Arabidopsis thaliana: one gene and its partners. The protein of the gene in region 4 interacts with the protein of the main gene of each other region in a pairwise test. Each region holds a gene or a part of one and is shown on either strand. Other genes may lie near its edges.

Region 1 (5,346 bases), 1.1 Mb from region 4:
CCAAGACGGAAACTCTATGAATGAACTCATCAAGGTAGCAGCAGAAGCAATAGTTGCCATCTCAATGGCTGGTCACCAACGCCATCCTGATGACGCAGCTTCCTCTTCAACTGATGCGGCTTCAAAAAGCCCGCTCTCTTGGTTTGCAGAAATAATCACTTCTTGCGGTGATGAGTTAGAAAGAAAGATTGATGGTTCTCCAGAAGCCACAGACTTTGAAGGTAACAGGGAAGACTATTCTTCTGGGGAGATTGATTACTTTGAAGCCATGACCCTGAATATACAGGAGACAAAGGAGGAAGACTACATGCCAGAGCCATTAGTCCCAGAGAATCTGAAATTCGAAGATACATGTATTAACAAGCCAAGAAGAGGACAAGCAAGACGAGGAAGACCAAAGCGGGATTTCCAAAGGGATACTCTACCTGGTCTCTCTTCTCTGTCGAGGCATGAAGTCACTGAAGATATCCAAATGTTTGGGGGACTGATGAAAACCGGAGACTACACTTGGAGTTCTGGATTGGCTGTTCGACGGAACTCAAAAAGAAAACGAAATGTCACTAACATAAACCAAGCTCCATTATGCCCGTCAATGGCGCAGCCAATGAATGAGAGCGTATCAGTGGGAGGACTTGAAGACAGTAAGCTCTCAGGATGGGGACAAGCAACAAGAAGACCGAGGAGACAAAGGTGCCCTCCTGCAGGTAGTAATCCCCCAACCGTGATCTTAACATAATAGTTTCAGGAAATAATCGGAATTTACCAAACTTGGAAATTCTATAGAGGGGGGTATAAAACAGAGAGATTATACCAAATTATTTTTTTTATACAGTAGACTGATGTTGTTAATTGTTTTCACCTATTTGGGAGGTGATTTATGTCTCTTTTCGTTTTGTATATCTTTTATCTTCTGTAAGATGGACCAAAACATGATTTGCTTTGTATTATAGCCTGGTTGGTTATAAAACAGATAGATTTCTTCTTAATTGAGAGCCAAGTATAAAACGATTGTCCATTAAAGATAATTTGATTCTAAAACGTCATCTTTAATTAGGTCATAACATTTAACTGGTTGAGTGTTACACATGTTATCTACGCCAAATTAGACCACAGGGTCGGTACATATGTTGCGAAAAAAACACTTATAGTTTGCTTAAAAATGATTTGACTTTTGTTTCAAAAAGAAAAAGATTGACCAAAATAGAGAAGAACACTTTTGACAAGAGTTTCTTCTTAGAGGTGACATGGGGTCCTTTTGCTTTCTCATAATTGTTTTACTATTCTATTTCCAGTTGAAGTATCATTGAACTCTGCCACAAAAGCACCAAGCTTTTATATGATTATGAACAAATAAAAGATGACTTTGATTTGCCTTGCAAACCAAAAGCATTCTTGAATCTGAAGCAAAAGAATCAATAAACAGAAAGGAAACAATAAAGAGAAGAAAACCGCGGTTTCGGTTTTAGTAAGATCATTCATCAATAGGAGCAGGAAGATTGAGATCGATGAGTGTATGCATCTCATGAGCTACTTGATGTTGAATCACCAAAGTCCTGTGTTCTTGATTCCCAATGAAATGTGATCTCTTGTGACCTCCTAAAGCTTGTCCTGATTTGAACACCCTGAAGCAAATCGGACACTCGTGACCTTTGCTTTTCTTCTTTGCACCGTTTGCTTTCTTAACCATTGGAGACTTACTATGAATCTTGATAGTTCTGTTTGTGTCCGCACAAGAGTCAGTTTCCAAGCTATGCTCACCACTGTCATAGACAGATTCAGTGAACTCATACTTGATTTTCTTACGACCATGAGAAGGAAAACCTCTTTTGCTTTTCCTCAGATCATACTTTGTAGAAGAACGACCTGATCCTGATCCTGACCCTGACCCTCCTTCCTTATACCATTCCTTCCTGAATCTGTTCATGTCCCTATCTTGTTTTGTTGGGGAGCTGTTGAATCCGGATCCAGATCCCATTATTGTTTTGTTCCTAAAGAACCCATCAACAGAAACATCTGAGTCCAACTTCTTTGGTCCATTCCTGAAGTAGCCAGAGTCAGAATTATCTGAATCATAATGAACATCACCATTTTCTTCACCAGACCTCATCTGGTTATCAACTACAAGTTTGTTCTTCTTACATAACTCTTCAACATTCTTCACATTGAACATCTTAACCTGCTCACCTGAAGATGACTTAGTCTCAAGAATCACAGAGTTGTTGTCAGATGACTCAGCCAAAGAGTTATGTCCTTTCTTAAAACTAGAATCCCTCGAAAGCATCATCAAAGACCTTGCCATTTCCTCCTGTTCAGGCTCAATCTCAGAAGCATCAGAAGAAGCTGAAATAGATTGATTCATAATACCATTACCACCAACTACAAAAGCAGCTTTGTGGTGAGGTTTCACAACAACTCTCTTGGATCTTCTTCTGATAGGAGAGGAAGAAGCCTCAGTATCAGATTGACTATCCATAACAATCTTCTCTCTCTCAGAGTGACAAGCCATGTGACCACAAAGAGCTTTAGAAGAAACAAAACCTTTACCACATTCTCTGCAACGACGCAGCTCTTGAAGTTGTTGCTGCTGCTGCTGCTGTTTCAGAGCCATAATCTGTCTGTGATCCACAAACCTCTTGTTCTTTTTAGGATTCTCTCTCAGACCATAACTAGATTGACCACCATTTTCATCAATCATCTTGAGCTTATCAGCCTCATCTTCATCTGAATCAGCTGAATTCTCATTCATGTGAGTTCTGATGTGACCTCCAAGTGATTTCCCACAAGGAAACCTCTTGCTACAGAACTTACAAACAAACTTCCTCTCTTTGAACTGCTCCATCTGATCAAAACAAAGACAAAAGATCATAAGAAGAAGTAGAAACAAAAAGTGAGAGAAGCCATTAGTTTGATTTTTACCTCAAATTTATCTTCAAAGAAAGCTTGACAGATGCTAAGAAAGAGAATCAAGCAGAAAGCTTGATACTTTTCCAGCGATCAGAGTTTGGAGATGTAACACTAGTCTTGTTAACTACAGATCCTACCATCAAGGCAAAGAGAACACAAAAACAGGAAACAAATAAAACTGACTTTGAAATTTCCTCAATATCTAAAGTTAGCAGATTTACTTTCTTTTTGGGGTTGCGAATGAAAGATATAAAATAAAAATTTTTTGATACTCAGATTATTACATTATACAGTGTGCAAATTTTTTATTGACATTTTTCATAAGAGAATAGTAGAGAAATGAGTGAAGACGTGACCATTGTCTAGGCGGATTTTGCTTAAGAGTGAAAGCTATACACGCATTATTTTAGTCTGTTTTTGGATAAAAGCAACCAAATAAAGAATGCAAGAAAGTAATTAGCTAACTAAGCAACAAAAAAAAAAAAGATTAGTAGATCCGACACATTTTAGCTGAATCCATCATTTTGTTGCGAGTAGACCGGTCCGGTCCAGAGATTTTGAAAGGCTCTAAACCCAAAAAGTGATATGTACTAGATAAAATACTCGAAATTCACAAGTTACAAACAAAAATTATAACTTTTTCTGATTCATCTTATACCAAAAATGCATTCAAGTTATTTCTATTTTACTCTATAAAGATTATTTTTTTCCCCTCCAATTTTGCTTCTTGTTTCCTTTTCTGTTTTGCCAGGCTTGCACTATATTCATCATCTCATCTTAAAACACTTTTATCCCATAAATTTGGCGATAAACATTAAGATATATACATTTTCTTTCATAACTTTCCTTTTCATAAAGAGTAATAAATAATATTTTCTACAACTTATAATCCGTTGATTAAATCGGATGATAACACGTACATGGTGGACGGTGCCACATTTGTAAAAATGAGTAGACATAAAAAATTTGGCTGGCAAAATGATAAAGGAAAATCTGGTTGGCAAAATTATAAATAAAAGTTTCTATATTTGCAAAGTTTTTACTATTGTCTATTGACAGAGACAAGCGAAATAAATATCTTTACAGCGAAATATCACACGAAAGAGAAGAACATAACATATATATGCCCCATCAACCTTTTTAAATTTTTATTGATAGACCAATGGAAACTTTAGAGTTACATAAATACAGCTCCCAAATTAATGGAGCTCATGCGTTTCTTCACCTCTCCTCTCCCAACCATACTAAATCTTTTTTTCTCCTTTCGCTTTCAAAACTATAATTTATCATTTTCTCATTAGAAAAACAAAAGAAAGTCCCTTGCAAAAATACACTATTTCCAAGATTGTTTTCACACTACAAAGCCCAAAAACAAGCGTGGAAATAGCTTAGTTACAATATTACCATAACGCAAGACTCCATTACAAGATCAAGAAAGTAGAAATAAGAAATTTCCGCAAAGAAGACCAAGAAGAACTAACGAACCATCTTCTTGGGCCAAAATAACTCTAGCTATAAAGTACACAAATCTCTCTCGAACAAATCCGAGAAACGAGTTAAATTAGAAAATATGTGACAAATGTTTCTGTATATATGTATGTATAGAAACTTGAGGATATGGTTTTAGTTGTGAAGCGGGTTTGGACCAGAGGGGACGAGTCTTTTGTCGACGCCGTACCTTGGATCAATCTCCGGAGGAGGAGGAGAAAGAAGTGGCTGCTTCCGACTGCTACGGTGGATTCTCTGAAGCTCAATGCACATAGAACGCGCGTAAGGACGAATGAAGGAATCACACGAACGGTGAGGAGTCACGTGGTAAGGGTGGTGGTTAAACCTCGGAACGAATCGGTGCGTTCGGTAACGGAAGTTTCTTGATGTTCTGTTTCCTTCGTCGACGACGGTTGAAGAAGCGGTGGAGGATTTGAGAAGTAAAGAGACGAAGAGAAGAGAGATCAAGATCAGACGATTCAGGTGAGTCATCGTCATTGTTTTGGTTTCCAAGAGAGAGCGAGAGAGAGAAAGTGAGAAGTGGTCTTGGAGAAGAAGAAGTTTAAAATCGAGAGAGGGAAGATATTTGGTGGAAGCAAATTGGGATATAAATGCAACACAGAAGAAGCACATGAATCGATGTTATGACGGTTAGTTTTAGTAAATGAGAGGGCAAAACTGGTTATACAAAAAAAAGTGGGTCCTTCGCTTAGTTCGTTTTCATTGACATAAATACCAACCCGTGAACTTTATTATATACATTTCGATCCTAGATTTATTTCACTTTCTTTAGCTTTTTCATACAATACGTTATACGTACAAAATAATGGGTTTATGTAGTAATTACGTACACAAGATAAACAAGAACGTGTATTTGAGTGGTTTCGTGACTCTCAAGTTAACTCCTGGGTCTTTATCGGCTTCTATAGTTTAAAGGCCTTAACAGGCCCAATA
Region 2 (3,955 bases), on a different chromosome or scaffold from region 4:
TAGGCTTATCACTAGGAAGCGATGACAACCGAGATTCAGCAACAATGTAGACTTTTCCAGTGTTGTTGACGAACCTTAAGATAGACAAACTTTGCATTGACACACAAAGCAAGATTACTTGGAAGAATCCATGGAGTAGTAGTCCATGCCACAAGAGCCGTATTATCTTGGATCTCCGATAACAGGGAATGTAACCATTACTAAATATGCAACACAATATGCAACAATAAATATGCAAAAAAAATATATATATTTAACACAAAAAAAAAAAAAAAAATGCAACAACAGAATGTTATAATCTTCATTAGCAACAAGGCCAACAACAACATACCTTATAGTTCTGACCAGCTTCAAAATTAGATAGTGGTGTTTTACAACCAGTACTATAAGGCATAACCTTGAAGCATCTATAGACAAGATTCTTATAAAAAAATCAGCCTACTACACCCAATTAAAATCTTTAATTTGAGTTATATATTTTAACACCGTCATTTCAATTTTTCCATGATTTTTAAGCCCAGCAAATCATAATCTGGCTCTTGAAATTTACGAACCCAAAAATCAAACCTCCAAATGATATTGGGCCTTTTAACTGGTCATACTTTGATCGCTACTTCTACTTCTAAACTTCAACTTTCAGTTCATAAAACCCAGATTTGACTTTCATTTACTCTCCTTTATTTTTTATGCATGTAATATACTATCACATTTTTATAATCATAATTTGTTTTACAACATCAAGGCTATGATTGATTCATATGAGCTCACATGGGTCTGCAAAAATGTAGTTTCTAAATTTGGAAGGCTTTTCAAATGGTGTAAATTATAAACTTCACCAACCTATTATTAAAACGCATATAATGTTTATCCCATTGCAGTTCGAATTCATTCATAATATAAGTTTAAACTTACTTTATAATGTAAATTCATACAAACCCACTTGAAATGTAAATTCATGTAAAATATTATACAAGAGAATGATAGATAGTCTTTGATTATACAAACCCAAATTTCATACAACGTAACTAATTATTAGAACATATTACGCAAAACTACTTGATCTATAGATCTACACTAATATATAGTTATGGAAAAGAACAATAATCCTGTACTATACAAACCCAACTTCAGACAACAAGAACATTTTTTTTTCTTTTTGAAAAAGGTATAACAAAAACATTACTCAAATTAACCTATTTGATCTATAATTTTTAAGTGAAAAATATAGTCTTGAATTATACAAACCCAAACTTCATACGATCATGATAAAAACATGACTCCAAGTCCAACATATTTTGATCATACTACATATATATTGAAAACATATATAAACACCACAATAAACATCATGCACTATACGGTGATTAACTTTCAACTATATATATATATTGTATATGGTTACGTGGATCGAACGTGAGGGAAACCGCTGCAAGCTTAATGATGACGATGACCGCCGAGTCGAAGATCAAGATCAAGATCACCATCTTGAGGTTGAGAACCTCCGGTCTCTGGTGGGCTCCGGTGAGTGTCATCATCTTCATTCATGGATCCGAGCCCTAAGCTCAAATTAAGATCATGAGACGCCCCTTGAGCAAATCTCCCTCCTCCTCTTGATGATGATGATGATCCAAAGTATTGTGTGTTGTGGCTAGGGTTAATAGGTGGCTGAGACCCTTGGTGTAGGTATGACTCAATGGTCGGAAAATAAGGAGGAGGGTTTGTGAAGTTTGTGGAGGAGGAGGGAGACTGAGATGGTAACGGAAGAGAAAATGGAAATGAGTGAGAAGAAGAAGAGGAGGAGGGGTATCTTTCGCGTTCCCTGCGGTGGATGTTATTGTGACCACCGAGGGCTTGAGGATTCGTGAAACCTCTCTTGCAGATGTCGCAGTCATAAGTCCGGCGGTTTTCTCCAGAGCCAGAGCCGGAATCAATTTGTTTGTCCCGGTGGTTCATCTCTCTCTTCTTCTTCTGTTGGGATCTCTCTCAAGTCTCAGTATTCAATGTTTTGAAAATGAGTGTATGAAGCTTCTTAAAAACACACACCAGCGTATATATAAGCTAAAGGAAAGATTATGTGTGTGAACGGACACTAATTAGGGCTAAATTGTTTTATCAATGGTTAATATATATACTTTAGGGTCTTTAATGTACTTAATTACGGGGGTGTGTATTATAATTAAATTCGTGCGTCTAATGTAACATGAATTAATAACTACAAAAACGTCATGCTTAGAATTATTTTAATTAGTTTATTTTCTAACAATTTTCAGGGAAAGTTTAACAAAGGATAATATAATAGATAAAGTTGAAAAATATTCTTCATAGGAAAACAAACTACAGAAGGTGTTATTTATAAGGTTTCGAGTGACTAGTTAGGGTAGCTAGTTTCTCTCTATTCAATTTCATTTTTGTTCAAGAAAAATATAAAGTTGTTCATCTTTGAATATAGTACAAAAAAGTACTTATTTGTTTGGATCGAGAGTAAAAATTGCAAAGTAAAATTGTAAAAATTGGAAGGCTAGTAGGAGCTAGTGAAATATTAAAGCTTAGTTAAATTTAATCTAATATAGTGTGAAATATATTTTGAATGTGAACATGTAATACCTACAAAATAATAAAACCAAATTTTTTAAAAGAAGCATTCACTAAGGAGTTGTGGACTTGTGGTTGTGCTTAAAGTAGGTAAAACAATTAAGAATATACAAATTGCTCTCATTAATTAAATAGCATTTATGAAATTTATTATGAGTTCTCCCCAAAACTGAAATTGATTTCGATGGTTTCTATACTTAGAAAAATATGCTTTAACAAAAACAAAATAAAACTTAGAAAAAAATACGATCGATGAGCGATCGCCTGCTACTCTTAGGATTGCTAAAATTAATATTTTACTGTATTCAATTTCAGAACCGACAAAATAATATTCACCTCCATAAACTTACTTCGTTCACACCGGTACCCTTTAACTTCTATGGACCGATTGAAACCGCGTTTTATAAGTTCGGTTTTAGCTATTGCCATATCGTTTTTTAGGATATAATAGAACGTTTAACGAATCACGATGGATCAAAACTCTCTATATATGCAATGGAAAATAATTATAGCCTCAAGAAAAATGATATTATGGAAGTTGAATAGATTTGTTATTATGTAGGCTGACTTCCTTTTGGCGTAGTCTCTTTTTAGTGAGATCATGCAGATAATATATAGTAAAACAAGTATACCATTATGTTTTATGGATTTAGATAAAGAACTATTGTCATTCGTTTTCTATAAGCTGATCAGGAGCATTAATGTTTTATAGGATTTCGAGAACATGTGAGAATCCTACTGACTTAAGAATATTCACTAGTGAATTTATAACAGACGAAAAAGAACTTTGGGACTACAGCTCATCGTAGACTTTAGCCTCCTAAAGCTACATTTATTTCTTTCATCAATAACATTTGTTTCATAAAACCCGCACGAACAAATATTCTAAATTGGCATGTGGATAAGAAACAAACTCGGTCAAGGTAAGGTCTATATAATTAAGCTTGATAAAAGAATCATACGGAAAAAATATCCACCAACAGTTTCAATATTTATATGTGTGTTTGGACTTGCGGGTGATATACAACATTAATAGTAATAAACTGAAAGAATAGTGTATGCATATATAGAAATGCTCTATGTAGTGTTGGAGACACTACAAAAAAAAGGTTGTTTTACATCATTTATTATAAATATTTGCATTAGTTAAAAGTGATGTAAAAGAATTTTGTATCATTTAAATAAGTGACTTAAATATTGTTGATGCAAATAATTTGCATCGGTTAATTAGTAACCGATGTAAATAATCAAAATAATTACATCGATTATTGTAATTGATATCAATATTGTATCAGTTACTAAAAATGATGTAATGTTTACATCAATTTATTTAAGTGATGTTAGTATTTGTTTCGGTTTAAAT
Region 3 (5,170 bases), on a different chromosome or scaffold from region 4:
TATGATATACTTCAACATTTTGCCAATAACCTTTTGATAAGGTTTTTGTTTGAGTTTCAAGGTCAATTATAATAACTTAGGTTATTTCATTTGGTTGGAATCTTATTGGTTAAACATAAATTTAGACACTAAAATCTCTTTTGACCAAATTTCTAATATGTTCATGCATGTTTGTCTCTAAATATAGTTAACACTTCAGCAAACATTATTTGCTAAATAAAGAAAAAGGTTTCCACACACAGAAAAAAAAACTATTACATGTTGATGCTCTTGTTTCTCTGACAATTACTTTAGATTCAAACAAATGAGTCGTCTAATAATTTTCATATTAGTTAGTGCGATTTATTTTGTGGTAAATGATGCTTGCAAGAAAACTGAGATTGTGATTAAGAACAATTTCGGTTCTAGTAGAATTCTCCAATATCATTGCCGCTCAGAGAACCAAAATTTAGGAGTCCAATATTTAAACGCCAAAGGTACAAAAATCATTAAATTTAAGGATGACGGAAGTCGGAACCAAGCGATCGATTTGGAAATGTCTTTTTAGGCAAGAGATTAACATGAAGTTTTATAACGAGGTTGAAGCATATGTTCCAAAAGTTTTTAAACTATCCTACAATTCCAAATTATATTCAATGTGGTCAACTACGTGTGTATATTGCTAGAGTAGATCATATATATTTTCGAATGGATGGACGTGCGGCATTGCCTGTACGTTCTGGCGTTCATAATGTGCTTATGACCTCCTACATAAGCCATAAGAACTAACTCTTTAGTCAAATTGTTTTTTTTTCTTCTAATAAATAGCTCATTTGATATGTTTTTGTATTTTTCAATGTTTAAAATAATAAGAAAACATAATTTTCATATACTAATGTTTTTGTTTTTACGAGATGGTTCTATATCTATTTGTTTGAATTACTTGTTATCTATCAGAGAACTTTTCTATAGAGAATTAAGAGCAGAAGTCAGGAGAAGATAGTATGAGTCACAATAATAAAAAGTTGACTCAAAAGAACCATTGGCTAACCAAGTAGCTTGCTCGGGCACCGAATATATCACAAAGATGGTCAAGCACATGAGAACCGTAGAGGACGTGAAGCGTCCATATATGAATTTGGTTCCATATGATGTAAAGAATTATCCATGTGTTCTAGAGAACTTCAGAGTTTTAAATCATGATACACAAAAGTGATTTGATCTCAAAAATTGAACTAGTTATGTTAGGAAAAGTGTGGTACGGATTTCTTAAAAGATTCTTAAAACTCAAAACATTTTTCCGTACCTCCTCGATAGCCAGTTTAACCGTTTCTGCTGGCCATCTCCTCAGCCATTAAAAAGGTGTCACATAACCTTTTTTTTTTTTGTGTCAAGAAGGTGTCACATAACCATTTGGTCTTAATGGCGAGTCTCTAATTTGTCTCTTACTATGAGTGATGCTATTTGTTTTTTACGACTATGCTTTATATATGTTACTATTTTCTTGATGAATAATAATTATCTTTGTATATGAGTCTGGTTGTATCTTTTGCACAACTTATCACATTTTGTCTGAATCTTGCTCTTCTTCTTCTGGTTGATGTGGCATGCTGGCATTGATCTTCGTATCCTCATGTTCTATCCTACTCTTTGGTTCTGCATATCCAAAGAGTCCAGCAAAAGGTTATCAAACAAAATACACTACAGTTTGTTGTTAGTAAAACCTTACTTTTGTTCGTAATTGTTCGGCGTGTGCAATTCAAGAACTCTTCCCAGCTTTGCTGTTTGAGTTCTCGTATAACTTCTTCCGAGAGCTCAAAGTTCGGTTCCCTCCCACACATGAAAGCAGCCCTAATAGAGGTGATAATTGTCAATGGTAATGAATTACTTGAATTGCAAAAAAAAAACCCGAAAGAGTTTTACCTATCGTATAAGCGAGCAGCCTCTTCTTGAGAAGAGAAAGTGCCTAAGTGGATTTGTTTCTTCTCGACTTTAATGGCGGCTTGCCATTTCATGTTTTTGTAGTAGACTCCTCTCATCAAACATGGTTCTTGGTTATGTACTCGCTTTCTTCTATGCTGCTTTCTTCGTTTCGGCGGCTGGTCTATAAATGGGAGATAATATAATATAATTCTCACTCGTCTCAATCAATTAGTAAGCAAATGAGAAATTGGTCCTCTCTCACATATGTTCTACTACTCACATTTTGGTGAGATGGAATCAGAATTAACCGGTGAGATATCTGAATAATCAGACCTGAAATGCATATGTTTTGACCGAGTTCTTCGGCTTCTTTCTTCAATAGCCTTTTTCTGCAAACCAAAAGAATGAAGGCTCAATTGTTAGAATGACTAAAGCCGTATAAATAAGAAACACTAAAGCGAAATGTATCACATAAGTAACACTACATATCACATAAGTAACACTACATATTACATATTGCACTAGCCCTTAGACATTTGTTAGAGTAACCTCGATAAACAATTAGCAAAACCATATAAATCAAAACATTTTTCCGTACCTCCACGATAACCGTTGTAACCGTTTCTGCTGGCCCGGGATTATAAGCTGCTCTGGCATTAGGATTTGGAATCCCAGTGATCATCTCCTCAGCAGTTAAAAATGGAAGTGGTGTCACATAACCATTTGGTCCTAGAGAAATAAAACTAATTCATCATTATGCCTAATATTGGACTATATAGTAGCATTTAGTCAAGAACATTGTTTACCACAACAAAGACCCAATAGCCTACGTCTTCGTAAGCTCACCATATCGACTTCTGAATGTTTTACTTTTCTCCTATAGACCACAAACAAAGCACTACTCACTTCAAGAAACAACTCACAGAAAACAGAAAATGTCTAAATTAAGTAAGATTACACAAAATATAGCCTCATTAACCATATGTTTAGTGTTTTGAGACCATAAAGTGTAAAAGTTAACACGTAGATCCGACAAGAACAGCTACTTTAGTTTCTCCAAAAGTCAAATTAAACAGCTCATCAAACCCATCAAAGTACGTGAAGATATGAATCTGTACTCGATGAAAAGGGAAATTGGTAACTAATCAAGGAAGACTTTTTAACCAAATCAAGTCAACTCCTCAATAAGAACAAAACCTACCACCGCCACCTTTTTCATGGATTCTCATAAACCTAAGCTAAATCTAAAAACCAGAGTCAACAGAAGATGGGTTCATGGATTTGATCCAATCAAGAAGAGGAAAGAAAAAACAAGAAGCCAAATATGAGAATGGATTAGTCTTCTCCAGAGAAACAAAATCAGCAACGACAAAAACTAAACATACCCATTGCACACAAACTCAATAGAAACCAATCCATTGCATCAAAATCAAAGCTTTAGGGGATATTAAAAAAAACAGAGACCGGTTAAAGAGTTAAACCGGAAAATCTGAGCAATTAAGGAAACGATTGAGGTACCTCTAAGAAGGTGGTAAGTGACAACAAGGTCTCATATAGTTCTGGATTTTGTTAATGAACAGAAGAGAGAGAGAGAGAAAGATAAAGAGAGACGAGTTTAATTGTGTTGAAGTTGTGGTGGTGTTAGAGGTTCATGCATCTACCACCTTTGGCCCTCTATTTATTTGGTTGGTAAACGCTGAGAAGACCAGAAGGAAAATTAAATATTTTGACAAAACTATTTAAAACAATGTGTTGAAAATATATTTATTAATAAGTAAAAACAGATAAATGCTAGAAAAAAACGAAAATAATAGAATAATAATTGACAACGATAATGGTGGAACAAAAAATCTCATGATTATATATAACAATAGATTATACTTGTCCAACATGCGAGTTTTTTTTTTAATTGTATATTAAATTTAGAAAAACATAAACTAAACATTTCTCATCATAAATTGTTATTTAGAAAAAGTATTAATTAGTTATAGTTAAAAAAATATTTACATACATCTTATGAAAGTGTAAAAAATAAATATTAAAGAGAAAATTGTTTTATTTAATCAAGTTTTTGGAACACAAATAACACCCAAAAAGTTTTACACATAAATATATTTGGAACACAAATAACACCCAAATAGTATTTAAATGATATTTTGAGGGTTAAAAATGTAAATTTTCCTATATTTAATTGGTCTGGTTCTTGTTTTTTCACATTCGTTAAGAAGTTCTTTTTATCATACACTAAATTATACAACCATATCATATTTAGTGTGAAACCCTAACAAGATTAAAAAAATAAAGACATTTCAAATATTAAATCAAATAAATATCTTGTCCATGCTATGTCCATATGATCATAAGAAGTTGTTTTAAATATATATCAACAATATCTTGTCCACGCTATATCCATACAAAGTAGTTTTTATCATACACTAAATTATAATCATATCATATTTAGTGTGATGCCCTAACGAAGATCATAAGCAAGAACAAAAAGCTAAAGACATTTGAAAAACACTAAAAATGAAGTATATGAGAAGAAATGTCTATAAAAGAAAATGTATATAAATTTTTACCAAAAACAAAAAAAAATGTATAAATTCTCTCTTAGTGAACGAAAAACCCGTGTAAAATCTCTAGTAGGCTATGTTTAGAACTTTGATAGACCTATAATACAGCTCTTCTTTTCATGGAAGAGTAGTTAATTTGTCTTTATAAAAGGAGTTAAGAAGAGTAACTAATTAAGAGAGAGATATCAATGTTAATCTAAAGTTTTCATCCTTTAGAGTTTCACGAGATATTTTTCTACACTAAATTATAACAACATCATAGTGGGTTGAAAAAGCTTTAAAAAGATCAGCAAAGAAAAACAGAAGGAAATATCTAAAAAGAAAAGATCATCCCACAAACAAATATTTTATAAAAGCTAAAGACAAATCTTTCTATGCATTGTCATGTGTTTTGGTAACAAATTCATTCGGGTGAATTTTTTTTTGATGCATGTATGTATGAGAAAGAGGTAAACTTAATTAGAAAGATAAAAGCTAGGAAATTTTCAAATTGTCAACCTTCTAATAAAAAAGTTGTCTAATGATTTCGGACTTGGGGGATTACGGGATTCGGCCCAGAATCTCCTGAATTTCAAAGAAAAAAATTAAAAAAAAGTTGTCTAATGAATTTTAGATGGTGAGTCTCAAATTTTCAAAATTCCTTAGACACAAAAACATTTGTGACGTGTAATTTTAATAATTATCTCTCTCTCTTA
Region 4 (3,978 bases):
CTTATTCCATATCATGTTTCTGATTAGCCTTTACGTATTGAAATTATTTACAAGGGAGCTGAGAATAGCATGCACTTTGGCTCACATGGAGCGGGAAGGAGGGATTAGTCCTCGGCTATCACCTTTGGCACAGGTGTGTGTGAATATCTTAGCAAGATCAAGTTGATTTCTAGTACTGAGGTGAAAGAACATGGCTTCTCTTTTCTTTTTCAGGTTAGGGACGCAGGGAATCTGTTGACCAGGGCGGGTTTTAGTCTTCCTGGTGTTGATGTTGATGAATATGTAGTTAAATACAAGAGAGGTAAACTGTTCCACTTTTTTCCTACTTCATCGTTTGCAACAACGTGTATCTTCCAAGAATTATTTCTGATTTGCCTTCTCGTTTATATCTTTCTACTCAGCGATGGATCTTATAGAGCATCTTCGTGCGATGGGTGAAACCAATGCTCTTCTCGAGAGAAACAAGATTTTGAATCGTGAAACTGCTGTTGCCACGGCAGCCATATATGACTCCATGTTTGCCACAGAGGACGGCACTATACCCGCTACTTTTCAGGTCTGTCCATAATAGTTCAGAACTAACTCAACAGTGAAAAAAACCCATAACCTAGCTTCATTATTCAAGTTGTTTTGCTACAATCCATGATTAAAACAATTTTATGCTAAATACTACAAGTGAAATTAACAACATTTGAGGCCTAAAGTATATATCGTTTGGCATTCTTGTGTAGGTGATTTACATGACAGGATGGAGAGAACATTCGTCTCACCCGCAGGCCAAACGAAGAGGTTCAGCCACCGTATCCTTCACGGATCTCCAAAAGCAATTTGGCGGACAATCTTGATGGAATGATTGAAGAAGAGAAACATTCAATAAGCAGAGACTTTACAAATGACACTTGAGAGAGAAATCAGTGACTTAAGCTATAAGGTACTTGGAGGAACTCTTGTAGATTTGTCGGAGTCTTTCACTGGGCGAAAGCATCACAATTAGGACGCCTGCTTTCGCCCATGTATTTCGTATCGAATAATAGCTGATCAGAAACATATTTGTATTTTACAAAAATATTACGAATACTTAAAAATCTCAATCTTCAATCACGAAACATGATCTCGCGCTAGGTTTCTTGAATAGATTTGTATACAATGGACCAAACTTCACTAAATCAGTGAAACAAACATTAATCAAAACCTTATAATGTATATTCACAACCATTTGATTGTTTCTCTGTGGTACCTAATCTTGTTTTGAGTAAGATTTTAGCACCACACCTGTTTTGATTATGGTACAAAATCTTACTCAAAAGAAGATCAAACGTGATCATGACCGTCGAGATAAATCAAACGTGATCGTGGCCGCCCAGATAATCATACACTGAAATATTCAACGGCTCCACTTGATCAGCTCCATTCTCGTAATACGTCGTCGTATCTCCGCATCCAGAGTTCACGCTGGTACTGTGGACGATTCCGGCGTCAATGGCCATGCCGGCGTTAGAAGCAGCTTGCTGGATAGATCTCGGAGAAGTTCTGGAAACGAGTGAAGGATTAAGCAAATGAGGGAAATTGAGAGATTCTAAAGAATCAGGTTGGTGTAAACAGAAGAAAGCAACGTCGTGTGCTACGGCGGCACCTTCTGCTGTTGAGAATGAACCTAACCAGAGACGGTCACGAGTTCCCGGAACTCTAATCTCTGATACCCATTTGCCCCATTTCCGACGACGGATTCCTTTGTACTTTGACTGACTTTCACCGGTGGATTCTCTGTAATCCATTTTTTGTTGTTGTATGATGATCGATGTGAAGAAGAAGAAGAAGAAGAAGAGACTTTTGAGTGTTGTTTATGTTTGAATATGAAGATACAAAGACTATTTATACGTTGAAGTTTAGTGAAAGTCAAAATATTATATAATATTTTTTAATATGAATCAAGAATGAGAATGAAGTTGACCAATTATAAAACTAGTTAATTCTCGAGGAAAAAATCAACTGGTCAAAGTATGACCCATTTTTTTAGTGGTACCAATTTGACATGTGCCTGACTAGTCGATTTTTTTTTCTTTCAAGTTGTAACTTTTTTTTTTGCTGTGTCTAACAGTAAATTCAATGTATTTAGAAAGTAAGAGTCATTTCTATAAAACAAGTGGTATATATACCGTTCTGTTTGGTTTCAAAATAAATGATATTTTTTGTTTTTTTAAAATAGAAAATTAATCTTTATTTTTTGTTGTTGTTGCTTTGGTATATCATAGTTAGGTTACCTTAATTTATAGGTTTTTCATTTTTTTTTATATGAAAAAGTCTTAAGTCGAAATCTAGAATTTTATACTACTATATATCCTCTATTTCGTTTCATAAAAATCTGTAAAATAGGTGATGACATAATAGTATAGAGAAAAGCAGTGAAAAACACAAAAGTCGATTCAAACTCCACCGATGAAGAATGTGAAAACGTCGTCGTCGATGGTTAAACCACGTGGGATAAAGAAAGACTTTCTTTGCCTTTTTTGGTTACAAATTGCGTCATGCGTGACATGAGCACCGTCTAAAGGGGGTCCTTTATTTTTGGCATTTGACCAAAGATCTGTAATGACTTAATGATTCTCCACGGACAACACACAGACACAACAGCCCAAACTAACTGGAAAAAGTTATTTTTTGTCTTCTTCTGTGTCTGCTGACTCATGTACATGGTTGTCAAATTTTAGTTCACACACAACCACATCCAAAACACGAATCATCCACGGAGAAACCCAGTCTCATAATGTATTTAATGTGTTTTCATCCTTCGGATGCATAACCAATTCTTTGTAGTTGATACTTGATTAGGTTTTTCTCGACACTGACATTTGGGAGTTGATTGTGATGTGATACACCGTCTTATCATAGTCACCGACTCATTTAGAAGAAACCTCAAAGGTAACTTGGTAAGTTACGATTAGAGATGTTTTTAGAAACGTCTAGCAGATTATTGATATCTGACAATAAATATTCACACCTACTCGGTTGGTCTATGCGATTTTAGACAATTTAAATGTTTATAAAAACCCTAGTGTATCAGTATATATAAAATCAATATTAATGAAATAATGCAATTAATAAATTACTTATTATAAGTTCTTATAAAAAAAATACTAGTGACCTCATTTTGTAATATCAAAAACTGGTGCCAACTTCATCTAACACGATTTATTTAACCTTGGTAATATTTTGAAAAAACCATAAATTTATAAAGTTGTTACAGTCAGATTTTAGTGGGCTAAAATGGGTTACAATTGCAATGGGTCTGGAAGTGGACAAATCTAAACAAGCGGCCCAAATCATCTGAGCACATGCCAGAACATTGAATAAATGTCAAAAAGGAGTCTCTTTCTACATAACCTTCACGCGCGGCTACTCCTACTTTCGCTTCGTCCGGTTCCGTCGATACTGTCTCCGAATCACTGTCTTCTTTCCTTTTTCTTCCTACATGACATCTGTCTTATCTCTTTTATGTTTCTCTAGATGTACTTATACTTCCATGTTTCGTCTGTATACGGTATGTTTCGCTCACCACATGTTCGATGAAATTCCTCAACGAAACTTTTTTTTTATCTTTCTCACCTTTCTTCCTTTGACTTTCAGACGGAGAAGCAAAATTGCTTGAACTTTCGCTTTGATGGATCAAACTAGTCTTGGAACAATAATCAAAATCCATTCGTTGCCATCATATGCAGCTTACTGTATATGCCGTCTTCTCCTTCTCGCTCTATACTCAGAGGTCTCACTGTATCCGAAATTTGCAAGTTTATTCCTCAATCGTGGAAACAGCTGCCGAGACCCATCTCAGAAACTTCCAAAACCCATGATGATGAATCAGTTCCACAAGTGCTTTTCAATTCATTTAGACATTGCATTTCCCATGGTCAATTATATGAAGCTTTCAGAACTTTCTCTCTACTTCGCTACCAGTCTGGTTCTCATGAATTCGTTTTGTAT

The links.
Region 1: the proteins of AT1G22810 (region 4) and AT1G26610 interact in a two-hybrid assay, tested with the Arabidopsis thaliana proteins (one large-scale study listed by BioGRID).
Region 2: the proteins of AT1G22810 (region 4) and URO interact in a two-hybrid assay, tested with the Arabidopsis thaliana proteins (one large-scale study listed by BioGRID).
Region 3: the proteins of AT1G22810 (region 4) and AT4G13040 interact in a two-hybrid assay, tested with the Arabidopsis thaliana proteins (one large-scale study listed by BioGRID).

What each region holds. Positions count from the first base shown.
Region 1 is NC_003070.9:9,191,228-9,196,573, reverse strand, and holds AT1G26610 (C2H2-like zinc finger protein), read right to left. Parts: upstream 3,248-5,346; 5' UTR 2,917-3,247; intron 2,840-2,916; coding exon 1,472-2,839; 3' UTR 1,192-1,471; downstream 1-1,191. Other genes in the region: AT1G26620 (T-box transcription factor, putative (DUF863)), read left to right, coding at 1-736; CLE9 (CLAVATA3/ESR-RELATED 9), read right to left, coding at 4,528-5,025.
Region 2 is NC_003074.8:8,248,577-8,252,531, reverse strand, and holds URO (C2H2 and C2HC zinc fingers superfamily protein), read right to left. Parts: upstream 2,014-3,955; 5' UTR 1,954-2,013; coding exon 1,435-1,953; 3' UTR 1,049-1,434; downstream 1-1,048. Other genes in the region: AT3G23145 (ATP binding / aminoacyl-tRNA ligase/ nucleotide binding protein), read right to left, coding at 75-173, 332-394.
Region 3 is NC_003075.7:7,611,681-7,616,850, reverse strand, and holds AT4G13040 (Integrase-type DNA-binding superfamily protein), read right to left. Parts: upstream 3,132-5,170; coding exon 3,100-3,131; intron 2,780-3,099; coding exon 2,709-2,779; exon of another isoform or gene 2,632-2,708; coding exon 2,501-2,631; intron 2,292-2,500; coding exon 2,183-2,291; intron 2,084-2,182; coding exon 1,903-2,083; intron 1,831-1,902; coding exon 1,709-1,830; coding exon of another isoform or gene 1,636-1,708; coding exon 1,541-1,635; 3' UTR 896-1,540; downstream 1-895.
Region 4 is NC_003070.9:8,073,195-8,077,172, forward strand, and holds AT1G22810 (Integrase-type DNA-binding superfamily protein), read right to left. Parts: upstream 1,844-3,978; 5' UTR 1,776-1,843; coding exon 1,341-1,775; 3' UTR 1,037-1,340; downstream 1-1,036. Other genes in the region: AT1G22800 (S-adenosyl-L-methionine-dependent methyltransferases superfamily protein), read left to right, coding at 55-133, 214-301, 402-556, 732-845; AT1G22830 (Tetratricopeptide repeat (TPR)-like superfamily protein), read left to right, coding at 3,727-3,978.